2 linked regions of the Elephas maximus indicus genome follow. The protein of the gene in region 1 interacts with the protein of each later gene in a pairwise test. Links are inferred from orthologs where the notes say so. Each region holds a gene or a part of one and is shown in the gene's direction. Other genes may lie near its edges.

The links.
Region 2: the proteins of NUMBL (region 1) and SPSB3 interact in binary tests that used the Homo sapiens proteins (3 or more experiments, as listed by UniProt). The two-hybrid records come from large-scale screens. The link is inferred for Elephas maximus indicus from reciprocal best matches to the Homo sapiens genes NUMBL and SPSB3.

The regions. Positions count from the first base shown.
Region 1 is NC_064829.1:110,968,768-110,977,666, forward strand, and holds the start of NUMBL (numb-like protein), read left to right. Parts: upstream 1-5,028; coding exon 5,029-5,139; intron 5,140-6,097; coding exon 6,098-6,172; intron 6,173-6,259; coding exon 6,260-6,334; intron 6,335-7,552; coding exon 7,553-7,693; intron 7,694-8,899. Other genes in the region: COQ8B (atypical kinase COQ8B, mitochondrial), read left to right, coding at 4,195-4,212. UniProt on the Homo sapiens protein: Plays a role in the process of neurogenesis. Required throughout embryonic neurogenesis to maintain neural progenitor cells, also called radial glial cells (RGCs), by allowing their daughter cells to choose progenitor over neuronal cell fate.
Region 2 is NC_064830.1:58,864,049-58,873,769, reverse strand, and holds the start of SPSB3 (SPRY domain-containing SOCS box protein 3), read left to right. Parts: upstream 1-5,541; 5' UTR 5,542-6,341; coding exon of another isoform or gene 6,342-6,350; 5' UTR 6,351-6,906; coding exon 6,907-7,323; intron 7,324-9,331; coding exon 9,332-9,509; intron 9,510-9,683; coding exon 9,684-9,721. Other genes in the region: cytosolic Fe-S cluster assembly factor NUBP2, read right to left, coding at 1,174-1,331, 1,668-1,737, 1,816-1,926, 2,040-2,194, 2,774-2,972, 3,064-3,182, 4,633-4,648.

The DNA.
Region 1 (8,899 bases):
CCAAGACACAGTGTAACAGACAGTAGTTGTGGACACACCCTTTCAGAGACAACAGTTTTATGCTTAAACAGAGACATACCGTCGTAGACAACATTCACGGACACACAAGCTGTCTTAGACACCAACAGGCATAGACACGCCTCACGGACAACATTCACTGACTCAAGCTCTCGTGGACAACAGCAGACATAGTCACCCCTCACGGACAACGTTCACTGACACAAGCTCTCATGGACAACAGCAGACCTAGTCACCCCTCACGGACAACGTTCACTGACACAAGCTCTCATAGACAACAGCAGACATAGTCACCCCTCACGGACAACGTTCACTGACACAAGCTCTCATAGACAACAGCAGACATAGTCACCCCTCACGGACAACGTTCACTGACACAAGCTCTCATAGACAACAGCAGACATAGTCACCCCTCACGGACAACGTTCACTGACACAAGCTCTCATAGACAACAGCAGACATAGTCACCCCTCACGGACAACGTTCACTGACACAAGCTCTCATAGACAACAGCAGACATAGTCACCCCTCACGGACAACGTTCACTGACACAAGCTTTCATAGACAACAGCAGACATAGTCACCCCTCACGGACAACGTTCACTGACACAAGCTTTCATAGACAACAGCAGACATAGTCACCCCTCACGGACAACATTCACTGACACAAGCTTTCATAGACAACAGCAGACATAGTCACCCCTCACGGACAACATTCACTGACACAAGCTTTCATAGACAACAGCAGACATAGTCACCCCTCACGGACAACATTCACTGACACAAGCTCTCATAGACAACAGCAGACATAGTCACCCCTCACGGACAACGTTCACTGACACAAGCTCTCATAGACAACAGCAGACATAGTCACCCCTCACGGACAACGTTCACTGACACAAGCTTTCATAGACAACAGCAGACATAGTCACCCCTCACGGACAACGTTCACTGACACAAGCTTTCATAGACAACAGCAGACATAGTCACCCCTCACGGACAACGTTCACTGACACAAGCTTTCATAGACAACAGCAGACATAGTCACCCCTCACGGACAACGTTCACTGACACAAGCTTTCATAGACAACAGCAGACATAGTCACCCCTCACGGACAACGTTCACTGACACAAGCTTTCATAGACAACAGCAGACATAGTCACCCCTCACGGACAACGTTCACTGACACAAGCTTTCATAGACAACAGCAGACATAGTCACCCCTCACGGAGAGCATTCTCTGACGCAAGCTCCCATAGAAAACAATGGATGTAGACATCCCTCATGGACAACATTCTGTGATACAAGCTCTCACAGACAACAGCGGACATAGACACCCCTCACGGATGACGTTCACTGACACAAGCTTTCATAGACAACAGCAGACATAGTCACCCCTCACGGACGACATTCACTGACACAAGCTTTCATAGACAACAGCAGACATAGTCACCCCTCACGGACGACGTTCACTGACACAAGCTCTCATAGACAACAGCAGACATAGTCACCCCTCACGGACAACGTTCACTGACACAAGCTCTCATAGACAACAGCAGACATAGTCACCCCTCACGGACAACGTTCACTGACACAAGCTTTCATAGACAACAGCAGACATAGTCACCCCTCACGGACAACGTTCACTGACACAAGCTTTCATAGACAACAGCAGACATAGTCACCCCTCACGGACAACGTTCACTGACACAAGCTTTCATAGACAACAGCAGACATAGTCACCCCTCACGGACAACGTTCACTGACACAAGCTTTCATAGACAACAGCAGACATAGTCACCCCTCACGGAGAGCATTCTCTGACGCAAGCTCCTATAGAAAACAATGGATGTAGACATCCCTCATGGACAACATTCTGTGATACAAGCTCTCACAGACAACAGCGGACATAGACACCCCTCACGGATGACGTTCACTGACACAAGCTTTCATAGACAACAGCAGACATAGTCACCCCTCACGGACGACATTCACTGACACAAGCTTTCATAGACAACAGCAGACATAGTCACCCCTCACGGACAACATTCACTGACACAAGCTTTCATAGACAACAGCAGACATAGTCACCCCTCACGGACAACATTCACTGACACAAGCTCTCATAGACAACAGCAGACATAGTCACCCCTCACGGACAACGTTCACTGACACAAGCTCTCATAGACAACAGCAGACATAGTCACCCCTCACGGACAACGTTCACTGACACAAGCTCTCATAGACAACAGCAGACATAGTCACCCCTCACGGACAACGTTCACTGACACAAGCTTTCATAGACAACAGCAGACATAGTCACCCCTCACGGACAACGTTCACTGACACAAGCTTTCATAGACGACAGCAGACATAGTCACCCCTCACGGAGAGCATTCTCTGACGCAAGCTCCCATAGAAAACAATGGATGTAGACATCCCTCATGGACAACATTCTGTGATACAAGCTCTCACAGACAACAGCGGACATAGACACCCCTCACGGATGACGTTCACTGACACAAGCTTTCATAGACAACAGCAGACATAGTCACCCCTCACGGACAACGTTCACTGACACAAGCTTTCACAGACAACAGCAGACATAGTCACCCCTCACGGACAACGTTCACTGACACAAGCTTTCATAGACAACAGCAGACATAGTCACCCCTCACGGACAACGTTCACTGACACAAGCTTTCATAGACGACAGCAGACATAGTCACCCCTCACGGAGAGCATTCTCTGACGCAAGCTCCCATAGAAAACAATGGATGTAGACATCCCTCATGGACAACATTCTGTGATACAAGCTCTCACAGACAACAGCGGACATAGACACCCCTCACGGATGACGTTCACTGACACAAGCTTCCGTAGATAACAGTGGGCATAGGCACCCCTCATGGACAACATTCACTGACACACAAGCTCTCATAGCAACGGACACAGACAACATTCATAGGCACACAAGCTCTCAGAGACAACAACCCCTCAGAGACAACATTCACTGACACACAACCACTCTCAGACATAGATGGCCTTCAGCAACAACCTTCAGGTACACACAGCCTCATAGAGAACCACCACGCTTTGGGAGACAGATCTCATGAACAACATTCATAGACACAGTATAAACAGCCATTGTCCGACATGCATTTTTCTGTACGACCTTCAGAGAACACATATAGACACCATTCAAGAATATACACTCATAGACAACAGCTGCATCCTTACTTGCACACGGGCATAGTCTTCATCTGCTGGGGGTGTTCCCAGTCCTGGGTGTCGTGTGTCCCCTTACCATGGAGGCACCTTACTCTCCTCCTGGGACTCTTCAGTGTGGCTTGTCAGTCCAGGAAGACTGTCCGGGTGGCTGGCCACTTCACACACACACATACACACACACACCCACCCACCCACCCACCCACACCCACCCACCCACCCACACCCACCCACCCACCCACCCACCCACCCCCACACACATACACACCCCCCATACCACTGACAGGCACGGGCCCCAGGGACCCTGCCTCAGAGTAGACGCAGGCGTTGAGAGACCAGCTGTGTCTCCAAGGCACAGAGACAAGCCCCTATCTCCCGTGCCGTCTGGACCCTGGGTCCCAGTCCTTAGTCCCCGGACCTTCTGAACCCCTTGACCCCTGTGTCCCACACACTGGACTCTTGTGCCCCTAACCCATGCAACTACTAATTCCAGTGCCCTCTGACTGCCCCATCCCCTGACCCTCATACCCCTAAAACCCTGACCTTATAACCCATGACCTCTGTGCCCTCCAGTGCCTTAACTTCTGATCCTTTGGATCCTCATTCCTTTCTGTCATATCCCCCAGCCTCCAAACACCTCAAACCTGTGACCCATGACCCCCATCCCAGACCTCTGTGCTTCTTACCCCTGTGTCTTCTGATGCCCATTGCTTCTGTGCTCACCCTCCCTGCCTTCTAGTGTCTCCTTTCCCCATGTCTTTTGAACTCTGTGTCCCCTGACCACGAGCTGCAAACCTATGCTCTCTGAAAGCTATGTCCTCTCACCCAGTGGCCCTCTAACACTGTGACCCAATTCACACGTTCTCTGACTCTCTGCTTCCTGAGTACTACGTCCCTGTCCCTTGAACCCCACGCCCCTGACCCACGGCCCTGACCTGTGTCACCAGACGGTGCGGGCACCATGAACAAGTTACGCCAGAGCCTGAGGCGGAGGAAGCCAGCTTACGTGCCCGAGGCCTCACGCCCGCACCAATGGCAGGCGGATGAGGATGCGGTACGCAAGGGCACGTGCAGCTTTCCAGTCAGGGTGAGTGTGGGGCCAGGGTGGCGCTGGGGCGGAGGGGGCGGGGCTGCTGGGCACAGGGCACTGGGGCACTAGGGCAGCCTTTTGCGGGGGGGCGGCGGGGCTAGATGGTTAGTTGGAGTCCTGGTGGTACAGTGGTTAAGAGCTAGGGCTGCTAACCCAAAGGTTGACAGTTTGAATCCACCAGCCACTCCTTGGAAACCCTATGGGGCAGTTCTCCTCTTTCCTGTAGGGTCACTATGGGTCTGAATGGACTCGATGGCAACGGGTTTTGGGGCTAGATGGTTGAGAGCTTGGTTGTAACCAAAAGGTCAGCAGTTCAATCCACCAGTCACTGCTTGTAGACCCTATGGGGCAGTTCTGCCATGTCCTATAGGGTCACAAAGAGTCAGAATGGACTCAACAGCAATGGGTTTGGGTTTGGGCTAGATCACTAAGGCCCTATTCTGTGAGGCAGAGACCTTACATTCTCAAAGAACTGTGGAGCTTACCAGAATAGGCCACCACCTCACGGGCCTTTTGAAGATGGTGAAAAACAGAGAGACATTGTCTTGCACCAGGAAAATATTACCTGGGAAACAGTGAGCAGGGAGGGTGTCACCTGTTAAGCAGGAGCTCACAATTTCCAAAGAGCACAAAAATCCTGTAACATTTGCGGAATCCACTGCTGTGAAATGCTTTCTGGATTATGGCAACCATGACTCTTTATGACCTAAGCTACACTTTCGTATGGGAGACAGCAGGATTCAGGGCATGGACTGTGGAGTTCAGCCGATTTGAGTTCAAATCCCCGCTCGGCCCCTTCCAGGTTGTGTGGCGACAGACGATGGTCATAGCCCCTCTGCCTTATCCTTTCCCCCAGAAATAGACCTGAGTGTGAAGGGTTCATTTGGGAGGTGCAGGAAACGCTGGTGGGAGTAAGGAAGGTAGGTAATCCAATAAAGTGTGTTATTAAACTGCAGTTGCGGACAGCTGAAGCTTAATCCCTCTGAGGAACTCTGGGAAACAGAGAGCCTGTGTACATCAGTCCATCAGTCATTTCGAAGATATACCTGTTGTAAGGGTGGACAAGCAGTCTTATGCAGCCTGGGAGCAGGCCACAGGCGCAGAGATACTGGTACTCAAGGACAACAGTGAAGTGTTAAGGCTTAGGAATATGGGGGAAAAACCCAAAAACGAAACAAAACCCATTGCCGTTGAGTGGATTCTGACTCATAGCAACCCTATAGGGCAGAGTAGAATTGCCCCATAGGGTTTCCAAGGAACGGCTGATGGATTCAAACTGCTGACCTTTTGGTTAGCAGCTGAGCGCTTAATCACTGCGCCACCAGGGCAGGGCATGGCTACACATTGTGCTTCAGTTTTCTCATCTGTGTAAACCATAAAAAAACCAAACTCTTTGTTGTTGAGTTGATTCCGACTCATGACGACCCTATAGGACAGAGTAGAACTACCCCATAGGGCTTCCAAGGCTACAGTCTTTACGGAAGCAGGTGCCACATCTTTCTCCTGTGGAGCAACTGGTAGGTTTGAACCGCTGACCTTCCAGTTAGCAGCCAAGTGCTTAGCCACTGCGCCACCAGGGCTCCTCACATCTGTATAACTGGGATAAAAAGGGGGTACGCTCCTTGTAGAGATGAGGTCCAGAGTAAACAAGTTAACATGTACAATGTGTTTGGAACGTTGCCTGGTGCATCGCAAGTGCTCAATGAACACAGGAATTATTGAAAACTGCTTTTTTCTGGTCCTGCTGTCCTCTTCTTCAGTACCTGGGCCACGTGGAGGTGGAGGAGTCCCGGGGGATGCACGTGTGTGAAGATGCTGTGAAGAAGCTGAAGGCGGTAAGTGACGGCCTGGAGCCAGGGAGGGGCAAGCTCAGGCCAGCCAAGGCAGCCCTGACCAGGCCTCTTTGTCCCCCACCACCCCAGATGGGCCGGAAATCCGTGAAGTCTGTCCTGTGGGTGTCAGCCGATGGGCTCCGAGTGGTGGATGACAAGACCAAGGTAGGGGGCCTGTGGGAGTGGGTACTAGTCAGCCTCTCTCCTCCTCTCCCTGCTGGAATCAGGGCTGAGGGTACCTTCCCACCCACGTCTGGGACGTCCCTCCCGCAAGGTCCCTGACCCACCTTCCTGGCCCACCTGACAGCCATAATTCAGAGATGATTCCTGTGGTTATTTGTGAGCTGGTATAGACAGTAGGGGGACTGTTGGAGCTCAGTTCATCTGCTTACTAGCTGGGTGACCCTGGCTACGAAATTTCTTGCCTCTGTGCCTCACACGCCTCACTTATAAAATCAGAATGAAAACAGACCCTACCATTAAGTGAGAAAATATATGTAATGTGCTGAAATCCGTGCGCGATGCATCGTGAGCACTCAGCTCTATAAGTGTCAGTCTGCCCAGCCAGACCTGGAGCACCGTGGGGCCAGCATCTGGGTGTCTGTTTGCTCACCATTGAATCCTCTGCCTGGGGCCCAGATACTGCCAGAGGGGGCACCCAGATGTGATGGGAATTGGGTTGATGAACAGATCACCATATTTGCATAGGAAGTTCCTTCTGCCAGAAATACTGTTCCCTGCCTTTCTGCTTAGTTAATTCCTCCACCAGGAAGCTCTGCCTCCGTAGCTGTCCTGACTCCCACAGCCCCACACCCCGCCCAATGCCAGCCCTAACCACTGTGCCCCGCCTCCGACCATCATAGACCCGACCCCTCTGCCTGTGCCCCCCATCCCGGCACAACCCCTCCACCTGTGCCCCAAGCCCTCTGCTCGTGACCCCCCATCCTGGCCTGACCCCTCCACCTGTGTCCCAACCGCTTTGCCCGTGCACCCCCATCCAGGCCCAACCCCTCTGCCTGTGCCTTCCCCAGCCGGGCTGTACCCCTCTGCCTGTGCCTGCCCCTTCCTTACCCTCTGCCTGTGCCTCCCTTGTCCCAGCCCCCACCTCCACTCCTGGCTTGACCTCTCTGTCCATTCCCCCCATCCTCCTGTGCCTCCCTATCCTGGCTGTCCACCTCCCCCGTGGCTCCCCCATCCCACCCCAATTGTAGCCTCAGCGACTCTGGGCTGTCCCTATGTGGATCTGATCCCCTTACTGTCTCAGTGAGTGCTGGGTCCCCACCCTGTTCAGGATTGGCCATCGAGCAGACACTGAGGAAATGTTAAATGAGTGCATGTTAGACACTTCATTTCCTTCTCCCGCCCTCCCTGGTTCTTTCGCAGGACCTGCTGGTAGACCAGACCATCGAAAAGGTCTCCTTTTGTGCTCCTGACCGCAACCTGGACAAAGCTTTCTCCTATATCTGCCGTGATGGGACCACCCGACGCTGGATCTGCCACTGTTTCCTGGCGCTCAAGGACTCCGTGAGTACCACCAGAGCCAGCCACTCGTCTCTCCCAGCCCCTGGCATCCCACCCCCCGTGCCCCACCGGCTGGCTGCGTGAACTCGGTCAAGTCCCTTACCCCTCTGTGCGTGGTTTCCTCATCTGGAGAACGGGATGTTATCACAGTTCCTAATCCTTGTCCTGGGAGTCCCTAGGTAGTGCAAATTAGTGATGCACTCCGTTGCTCACTGAAAGGTTAGAGGTTTGAGTCCACCCAGAGACACCTTGGAAGAAAGGCCTGGTCATCTACTTCTGAAAAATCAGCCACTGAAAACTCTGATGGCGCACAGTTTTACTCTGACACACATGGAGTGGCCATGAGTCAGACTCACCTTGATGGCATCTGGTAACTGGTGATCATTGTTCCTAACCTAGGAGATTATTGTGAGTCTAGAGTAGGTGTCATGGTTAAGATTGTGTGTCAACTTGGCTGGGCCATGATTATCAGTGTTTTGGCAGTCGTTGTGATCACTGCCATTTTGAGATTTGATATGTGGTCGCCCTCATGATAGGATCTGCGGTGAGTAGCCAGTTAGTTGAAAGGGAGTTTCCTTGGGTGTGTGGCCTGCATCCAATATAAGTGGACGTTCTGGCAGGGCTTGGGGGCTTTTGCACATTCTAGATCCTGCAGCTGGCTCCTGTTCATCTGACCTGCAGTTCTTGGGCTTGAGCTAGCAGCTTACCTGTGGCCTTGCCTGCCGATCTGGGGATTTGTCAGTCTTCACAGACCGTGAACAACAGCCCTGGTCTCTGATGTGCTGATCTGGGGTTTGCCAGCTCCTGTGGCCTCTATCCTGATCCACAGACTTGGGACGTTCCAGCCTCTACAACCACATGAGCCATTTCCTTAACGTAAATTTTTCTCTATATACGTATTAATATGTTTTACTGGTTTTACTTCTCTAGAGAAGCCAGCCTAAGACAGTAGATTAATACAAAGCGTTTCAAACAATGCATGGCACAGAAGGAGCCGTCATGAAAATGTAGTCATCATCATCATCATTCTCAGTAGTTCTCGAGGTTTCTTTGACTTTTTTATTGAGGGACATATTGTTATGGATTGAATTATGTCCTCCAGAAACGTGTGTCAACTTGGCTAGTCCATGAGTCACAGTATCGTGTGATTCTCTACCAATTTGTCATCTGATGTGATTTTCCTACATGTTGTAAATCCTATCTCTGTGA
Region 2 (9,721 bases), on another chromosome or scaffold:
CGTGTTACTAGGGGTCCTGCCCCACCCACCCCCCCCTCACCACAGCCCTCCCTCACACCTCCCCCAGCCCTGCCCCCTTGGGAAGATGCCCCCCCAGATGCCATTGCTCCACCCAGGTCTCTCCCCCTGAGGTGGTTTCCCTGAGGCATCCTGCTCCTACAAAGCCAAAGTGAGTCAAGGTGGCACAGCTGTCTCTTCCCTGGCGTCCTGCCCTCAGTGCACAAGGCTGTGTGTCCATGCTGGGAGTAGAGGGTCCAGGCTGAGCGCCACCCAGTGAGCCTCTGACCATTAAAACTGGGCTGCTGTGCCTCCAGCCCTCCTCCCCTTCTCTGCAGCCCTAGCCTTGCCTGCAACTCAGACACGTGCCCCACCATCCGACCAGGAGGCCCCCTCACCTTCCCACCCTGTCCTATCTCCCCAAGCCCACTCCATCCCCAGGAGCTGCACCAACTCCTCCCTTTGGAGACACAGCCCCAGCCAGCACTCGGCCTGCCACACTGTCCTCACCAGGCAAAGGTGCAAGAAAGCCCCTGGGCCTCTCAGCTCACGTGGAAAATGGCCCTCAACTTCACTGTGCCCTTCAGGGCATCACCCTCTCCCAGCTTGGTCCCAGGGTCCCCGTGGTGGCCCCACTCACGTGTTTCTCTAACACCTCCACAGCAACCACAAGCACCCTCCTGCCCTCAGTTCGAACGTTTTCTCACTCTGGATTCACAGAACCCAGAGGCTCACTGAGAGACACACACAGGAGAGCAGATTAGACAAGACAGTAGAGACGTCACATACGTAGGTGTCTGTTTAATGGTGCAGTGCAGGGTGTCTCCAGGCCTGGCAGCCACCCCCCAACGTGGCAGGCCCAGGGTCAGCAAGGACAACAGAGCAGCTCCACGCCATGTGGGGCACAGGTGTCAGAAGCTGGTCCCTTTGGGAACATGGCATCTCCCCATGCAACTTGGATGTGGTGCCATCTCTCAAGGCTACCAGGACCCCGCCCACACTGCTCAAACACTGGAAAGGTCTCTGAACGCAGTCTGGTGGGGGTGGGAGGCACAGATGCTGCTGGACCAGCTTATGTAGGTCCTGCACCCCTCCAGGCCCCCTGTTCTGGCCCTCGTGCATGAGCTCCACAGCAGCATGGGAAAGCCCAGGAGACAGGAGAGCTGGCAGGGCACCTCAGTCAGTGCCTGTCTGCGCCTGCACCTGTGCCCCATCCAGGATCTTCTGGGCAATGGAGGCAAGTGCAGGGAAGGCAGCACTCTTGGGGAACTCCTGGATGAAGTCCCGGCCCTCTTCCAGGCTCCTCACAAGCTGGGGGTCCAGAGGCACGGAGCCTGTGAAGATGAGGAGACGGGGGAAGGGAGGGCAGGGCCTGGGGAGGCTCGGGTCACCGCCATGCACCCCCACCCTGGAAGCCAGCGCCTCCTTGAGAGAGCAGATGCCCCAGGCTGGCACTCTGCGGGGGCTCACTTCCACCCGGATGCTGTACCTCCCATGGGCTAGCTCAGTACTGCCCAGCGCGTGGACACCTGCCTCAGTGTTCATCCAAAGGGCAGCCCTGAGGTTTAGCCTGGGCAGGGAGTGCCTGTCCTGCCCCCTGCATCTTGGGGTCCCAGCAGGCATGCTCCCACAGTTGACAGGGACCCCACTACCCCCCACCTGGCACTCACCTAGAAAGGGAACCCCAGCGTGCCTGGCCAGCTCCTCCCCGCCTCCCACGGAGAAGAGATTAGTACACTCCTGGACAGAGGGATGGGGCCATGAGTGCAGGCCCCTTGTGCCCCTGTACCCTGCCCACCCGACGGCCGGGCGCCTCACCGCGCAGTGCGGGCAGACGAAACCGCTCATGTTTTCCACAATGCCGATCACTGGCAGCCCTGTCTTCCTGCAGAAGGTCAGCTCCCGCCGCACATCCCCCACAGACACCGCCTGGGGGCCAAGACAGCGTCTGGGGCTCTACATGCAGCTCTGCTGGAGAGAGGGAGGCCACCGCCCCCACCTGCCAGGAGGGGCTGCATGTTTGGAGCTTGGTGCTCACTCACCTGGGGTGTGGTAACCAGAACTGCGCCCAAGGGCTGGTACGGACGCAGGGCCTCCACAGCCGAGATGTGCTCATCAGAGGTACCTGGGGGCGTGTCCACCACCAGGAAGTCCAACTCCCCCCACACCACGTCCGACACAAACTGCCTTATCAGTGCTGCAGAGACCACCCAGAACCCCGGGGGCTCATGAGGCGTTTGTCCAGAGAAGCCCCAGCCTCTTGCAGCCTCCAGTGCAGACAGCGCTATCAACAGGGCCTGGACCCCAAAAGCAAGGCCACTGCCAGGAGGAGAAGCACATGCAGAGGTCCCCAGCACACTGTCCCTCTCCCCGCCCCACCCAGGAGCGGTTGGCTGATGTCTGCTCTAGACACAGGATGGCCCCAAGTGTCCCGGCCCAGGGAGCTGGCCCTGCAGGGAGTGCCATGGCTGACTGGCCCTAGGCTGGCTTTTGATACCGGCAGGCGGTCCAGGCTTCCAACTACATCGCTGACCTGATGGCGGGGGGAGGCGGGGGTTGTTGCTGCCGTCTGATGGGCCAGAGGCACCCGAGCCCCCAATGAGTGCCCCAACACTGCAGATTGGTGGCTCAAGAATGATGGCCTCAACCACACAGGCCCCAGCACCATGCGCCCGCCTCATCCCACGATTCACAGAAGCCTACCCGGCACAGCCGGGATGTTGCCAACTCCCCATGACAGCTGGCATGGGACTGCTGAGGACTTGGGCCCCATTACCATTTTTCTTGGGGCCCCTCCACACCACGGCCTCATCGGGTGTCTCCAGCAGGAAGCCCACGGACATGAGAGCAATGCTCTGTTCCTGGTCCACAAACACTGGCACCCAGCCGTTGTCACACTGGTGCACAGCGCAGCCCTGCGCCTGCAGCATGCGTGGCACGCTGGGCCCACACAGATCCACATCTAGGATGCCCACCTGCAGGCGGTGTAGCCAGTGAGGACCACGCTCAGGAGGACAGGGGTGGCAGGCGCAGGGGGGATGAGTGGCCTGGAGGCACAGTGCTCACCTTCTTGCCCGCGTGGCGCAGGGCCAGGGCCAGCTCAGTGGAGATGGTGCTCTTCCCTACACCACCCTTTCCCGAGAGCACAAGGATGATGTGCCGGACGCCGGCCAGGTTCCCAGGCTCTTGTCAGAACAAGAGACATAAAGGTCAGGAGGTCCCAATATGCCAGCCACTCCTCACCATTCCCCCTACGGGCTCACTGTGTACTCCCACCTCTGGGCTCTGGGGTCACGGCCCCCACACCCGACACTGAGCAAATGAGGCTGGCAGGAGGCTCCACAGCCCATCCGCTGCTCCCGTGAACGCCATAGCACCCACTCCTGCCTGAAGCCTGGCTGCCGAAGACCAGGAAGCCTCTTTAGAGAGCGTCTATGTGTGCAGGTGTGCGCATGTGTGTATGTACTGCAGAAGTGGTGTGCACTCACGCTTGGAGACAAGACAAGCCTGAGATGCCAGCTCCCTCTAATTCCAACGGAGAAACACTTGGAGACCAACAAAGCTGCCGTCTTCGTGGCCTCAAGGTGCACCTATGCCTGGAGGCTGCTGTGCCTCCTCTCAGTGACCAGGCCCAAGACATGACTGAATCTGGGCCTGAGGTTGCCCCTCTCCACCTCCTAGGACCCAGGTTAGTGCAGAAGAGGCCCTGAGGCAGACACTGGGGCTCCAATTGCGGGGGCGGGGGGGGAGGGTGAGTGCCAGCACCTGAGACCCAGGTCACCAGACGGCCCTTGCTATGCAAGCATCAGCACTGCCTGACTGGCTGAGTCCACACTCTTGTTGCCCCTGTGCCCCACCCCGAAGGCACCCACCCACTAATGTCTTTGGCCGCATTCCACACAGGCCCCCCCCCCAAAACTCTCCTTTGGGTCTTTGACCACCTGCCCTGCTCCTTTTCCTTCCACTGAGCAAGAAACTTCACCAAATGAATCAGGGATGGTCACAAACACCGTCTGCCTGGCCTCCATATTCCAATCAGGTGCCCTCCACCCTGCCCAGGCCTCTGCTCAGCTGCTCTCCTGGGTGCCCGCCTTTCCCGGAAGGTGGTTGTGGGTAGAATCCCATCCCTCCTCCCACCCCTCCAATATCTCCCCGAGGTACTCGCAGGGCCTGACCTGGCCCTCCTGGCGGGACCTTAACACAAACTTTGTGAACTATAGGCCATGATCTCGTCTTAGGCGACATCACACCCAAGCTGCCCAGCAAACACTAATGCTTAAGGTAACACCAACAGGCACGTGGGAGGATACTGTGCAAGGCTGCAGGTTCACCTTCGTTGCTGGGGGAGGGGGTTCTGCTGGAAACGCTCGAAAGTGAGAGAGCCAGGTGTAACCTAGTTGAACCGTGACTGAGACAGGCAAGAGATCGGACTGGCTACAATTAAATAACTTCTAATTCAGTGTTTTTGGAATCTAAACCTAAGTGCAGACCACCATATAACTTTTACTGCTGGCACTCGAAGACACTTGTGACTAACAAACTAGGTGCTTAGACAAGATAAGGGGCCATATTTCCTATCCCTACATGCTTGACTGATAACCTTCCTGAGTTGTTTTTCAAGTCTCGCATACTCACCCGCCACCGCCTCCATCCGCCACCTCCTGCGTCTCTGGGTTTCCGCCCGCGGACCGCCCGCCTCCCAGCAGGAGTGAAGAGCCCTCGGGCCAGTGGGCAGCGCGAGCCCGCCCCCCGGCGCCTCTTCATAGGCCTAGTCCTGCTGCCCTCAGCTAATCAGACCGCCCGAGCTGTGCGCGCGAGTTCCGGCGCCGGATGACGTGGAGGAGATGGGTCCACTTCCCTGTCAACGCCCCAAGTTGGGACCGCCTCCCTCCCGCAATCCGCGCCCAATGGGTGCGGGGGCCTTCTCTCCGACGGATTCAGGCGTGGCCAATGGAGACTTCGGTTCGGGACTAACGGGCCCTGCAGCCTATCGGCAGGAGCCGTGCCCCGCGAGTCCCGACCCCCGGTCCAAGCCTGAGCTGGAGCCCGCCTCCCGCGGGCCGGCCAATGCGGCGCGGGGCGGGGATTGTTGACGTCTCGCTCGGAGCGGAAAGTAGGTCACCGCGGGCAGGGAGCGCGGCGACGGCGGAGGCAGAGCAGCGCCAGGTGAGCGCGGCGGCGCGGCCGGGCCTGCCCTGGCGTCGCGGGCTCGGGAGGGCGCGCCCAACCTTTGTTCCTCCGGCTACCCGGGCACGGCGCCTGCTCCCAGCCCGCCCTGCGCTTTGTCCGCGGCCACCAGGCGGGCCGCGCTCCCTCTTAGACCCTCGTCCATCTCCGGGGCCCCGGAAGGACGGCTGCGTCGGGCGCTCTGCGCACTGCCTCGGGTTAGGGGGCCCTCCCCCCCGATTTGGGGGGTAACTTCCGGAAACGGCACCCCGAAACTGAAATCAGTACGAGCTCGCGAGAATCGGGATATGGCGACCGTCCGGTTACGTGAAGATTGGGGAGCGTGTTGTCGGGACTTCGCTGTGGGTGACAAGCTCGTTGGGTCATTCATTCAGTCTGGGTCACGTGGCGCCCACTGTGTGGTACCAGTGTAGCGAATAGCGATTAAGCCGTTTGGGGCCGATTGTAACTGCTCCAACCATAGTTGGAGACTGGAGGCTCTGGTGCAGGCCAGATGTTTATGGAGAACAGCAGGACTCCCATCACCAGGAACCAGTGGCTCAGGCTAGGGAGGGCCTTCCCCCCCGCCTCCCCCCCCCCCACCCAGCTCATTCATTCAGCGGACAAGGCACCTTTTGGGTGTCTGGCAGGGGCCTTGTAGGCTTTCCCGCCCGAGGGAGAGGCAGGTATACACCATCACGGAAGGCCACATATTGCTTTAGGTTGGGTGGAATTGATAACGGAAGGTAGTGTTACCACAATTTCCCTAGTTAGCCGCATGCTGCAAACAGCCAATTCTTGAGACCGGGTGAGGTGGGTAGCAAGAAGTTTATTAGATATACCGGTATTTACCGATATATGGAGGCAGAGGGGAATGATCTCCTAAAGCTAGCTGTCTGTCTCTCAGAACTACAGGTCAGCTAGGGTTTTCAAGGGAAAAGGGGCTATAAGTTTTAGGAACTCGTGGAATGTGCATTCTCTTTCTGTTTGGTTTCAAACATGTTGATCTCTTCCTGCTATTATCCCATCAGCTTCATCTTGTTGACAGGCTTATTAGATCCATATCACTTGTTTTCCAAGGTCCTAGGGGAAACACTGGTTAACCTTTTGGAGGAGCTAACAGGAAAATCCTACCTGGAAACAGAGACAGCCTGGGAAGGGAAAGAAGAAGGGGAAAAATGGCACAGGTACTGTTCAGGATATGGCTGAGCAGCCTGTTTCAGTAGGACCGTGGTAATCAGAGCAGCAGTGAGAGAAGAGTAGGAGAAAGCTGGTCACTGAACCAAGGCCAGTATGGCTTGGGGAAGCTGAGAACTCTGGAGGCTCTGTAGAATTCTGCATTTTATCTTAAGAATAATGGGAAGGCCTGAAGGCATGGTAAGATTCAGATTAATTTTTCAAGAGCAAGTCTGGCTGTGTGTTAAGGATCTGGGAGGAGGGTGAGGCAGACAGATGTGTGGTCCAGGGGAGGTCCTGGGTTGGGATGGAGGTGAAGAACATGGACGAGTTGAGGTAGTCAGGGCTTGGAGATACTGAGTTGATGCGGGCCATGAGGGGATGGAGGAGGTGTCAGGGATGTCTGGCATGAGGAACTACGTGCTTGGAGATTTCATTTGCCAAACTGGACACTGGAGGAGGAGGAGTCAGCCAAGGCTGGAAATGCCTGAAGTGCAAGTGGGTGAGACGTGGGGTAGGTGAGGATGAGCTCAGAGGGAGATGGGCTGAGATGTGCCGTGGAGAGTCATGGACTTGTGGAAGGTTTTGCACACCATCTGCCTGGTTTTCATTGAGGTACTCAGATACTGGAGTGAGGTGTGGGCTTGTGTGGAGAGTTCTGGAGCTCTGACCATGGGATCCGTGTGGCCCGGGAACACCTCCACCTTTGGGTGGGTCTGTGGGCACAGCCCGCAGGGGCAGCTGGGAGCCTGCACAGGGGTGAAGGACAGAGTACAGAGGGCTGTTGGGAGACAGTCCAGCATCCTGAGTCTTCCTTCCTTTCTCGGGGTCTGTGTTTTCTTCCAGGTCCTCTCCGCCATGGCCAGGCGGCCCCGGAGCAGCCGGGCATGGCATTTTGTCCTGAGTGCAGCCCGCCGAGATGCCGATGCCCGGGTTGTGGCTCTGGCAGGCACTGCTAACTGGGGCTATGACTCTGATGGGCAGGTAGGTCCCCGTGAGGAGGGGGTGCTGCTGGACTGAGGTGTGGAGAAGCAGGCATGACCTAGACAGGGATGAAAGAGGATGGATGCCCAGGTCCCACTGTCCCTGGGCATGCTCTGCCTGACAAGGCTCTTCAACCCAGTGAAGGCCCCTGAGGCTGGGCCCCAGCACAGGTGCCAGGTTCTCCTTAATAACACTCTTCTGTCTTGCAAAGACCACACTGGGGCGAGGCTGCACACTGGGGATTGTGGCCAACAAAAATGTTTCAATTTCATGCATCCAACTCATTTCCAGAAGAGAGCCATTGTTAACTTGGCGAATGTCTTTCTAGATGTTTCCTTGGCCTGTCCAGACACACAGTGTTCTGTACGTGTGCATGAAAAAGAGCTTTGGTTCTTGATGATCAGAATTTCTTACCATGTGAGCCTCTCCGTGGGAACAAGGAGGCAGTCCAGAGAACATCTGTCTCCCAGTTCAGGTTTTCTGGCCCCAGCAGGGGCAGCATGGAGAGGCAGAGCATGTGGGTGAAGGTTTGGTGAGGCCAGGAGAAGAATAGGTTCCATCTCTCAGAGTAGGAGCCAGCTTGAATCACCCCAGCTGTCTTCTGCAGGGCTGCCCGAGGTGACTTTGGCCTCTGCTCAGCACAGGTGCCCCGGGCTGGGAGGGGCGGGTGCCTCTCCTCCAGATCAGTGGCCCCTTGTCCCCCCAGAGAGTGGCTGGTGAGCCTTGGGAGCTGTCCAGGGGAAGGCCTGGCCTGCACTCCTGCCCTGCCCCCACACTGACCATGTGGTCTGGAGCACAGACTCACTGCTGTGGGATGCAGAATGTGACCACTGATGGTACAGATGTGACACATACATGCTTTTTGTCCCCTGTCACCTAATGGGTCTTGCATGCCTGTGAGTGTGTCTGGGGTGAATAGCACACATACCCTTCCTTAGTTCATAGGAGGCAGAGGCCTCAGCCTAGGGTGGAGGGTCCCATTCCCTGCAATGGGATGCAGTCCCTTAGGCCTGCGTGGCCTGCTGTGGCGACCATTCTGCAGATGGGACCATGTCCCATTCTTAAGTCGGCTCTCAAAACAGACCTGCCAGCCCGACCATTGTGGCTCCGTGTCTTCTCTTCCTGGGCCCATCCTCTCCTCTCCCCAGCTCCTGCAGTCTTCTTTATGATTGTCTGTCTGTCCATCCGTGATGGGTTTGAGACACAGCAGATGCCCGTTTTGCTGTTTATTTGCTCAGTTGGTTTAGCTGCTGTGTGGCCATGGTGCTGGGCCCTGGAGTGTGACGGGAAAGAGACAGAAGGGCTGGGCTTCCCTTGTCAGGGGACAGGTGACAGATGAGTTTCAGGGATAAGAAGAAGAAAGCCGGGGAATGGTGGTCTGAGGAGGAGCATCGGAAGACCCAGGTGGGGGACCCTGAGGTCACGTGCTGCACATGGGAGGAGTGAAGGTGGAGTTCAGAAGGCAGATCTGGGCTGGGAGCTCTTGAAGGATTCGATGGGGCACGGGTACTCTAGGGCGTGGTGGAACGGCATGATGGGGGCGGTGGGACATGGCGGAGTGTCACGGTAGCGTGTTTTAAAAGCTTGTTTGGGTCTAGGTGCAGAGTGTGGAGTGGTGGTGGGGCGGGGGGAGAAGCAAAGCCCAGTGGCGGCCAGTGAGCCGCAGAGCTTCAGGCAGGGGCTCTCTCCACCTGCTCAGGTGTGGAGACTGGAGGCACTGCATAGCTTCAGAGCAGGATGACTCAGCTCAGAGACCCCTAAGCAGGCTGGCTGGCCCCCAGGAGGGGTTGTGGGTGACTCGGCTATTGGGTGTGACAAGCTTTGCACAAGGACCCGAGTGTCTGGCTGGGTCCTGTAGGGGCAGCTCAGCTGACTAGTACTTTTCTATACCCAGAAGCTGGAAGCTGCAGCAGGGGCCTCGTCAAGGGGGCTGTGCAGCAGGGTGGGTGTGGAGGGGCTGGCACAGGGCTGCAGGCCAGAGGTGGGAACAGCCTGCCTTCTTTCCCAGCACAGCGACTCAGACTCCGACCCTGAGTTCTTGTCCCTGCCGCCATCCATCCCCAGCGCTGTGCCGGTCACCGGGGAGTCCTTCTGTGACTGCGACAGCCAGAGTGAGGCCTCCTTCTGCGGCGGCCGGCACAGCACCCACAGCGGCAAAGACTGCCGCTGTGGGGAGGAGGACGAGCGTGAGTGCGTGGGGAGGACTTGGGGGAGGACCTGCAGGGAGGATGAGTGTTTGGGAAGGTTGGGGGAGGGGGGACATACAAGGAGGAGGATAAGCGTGAGCACTGGGGGAGGTTGAGGGGAGGGTGGGGGAGAGGGGCTCCCTGCCCACCTCAGCTGGCCCTTCGCCCCTGCAGACTTTGACTGGGTCTGGGATGACCTGAACAAGTCCTCA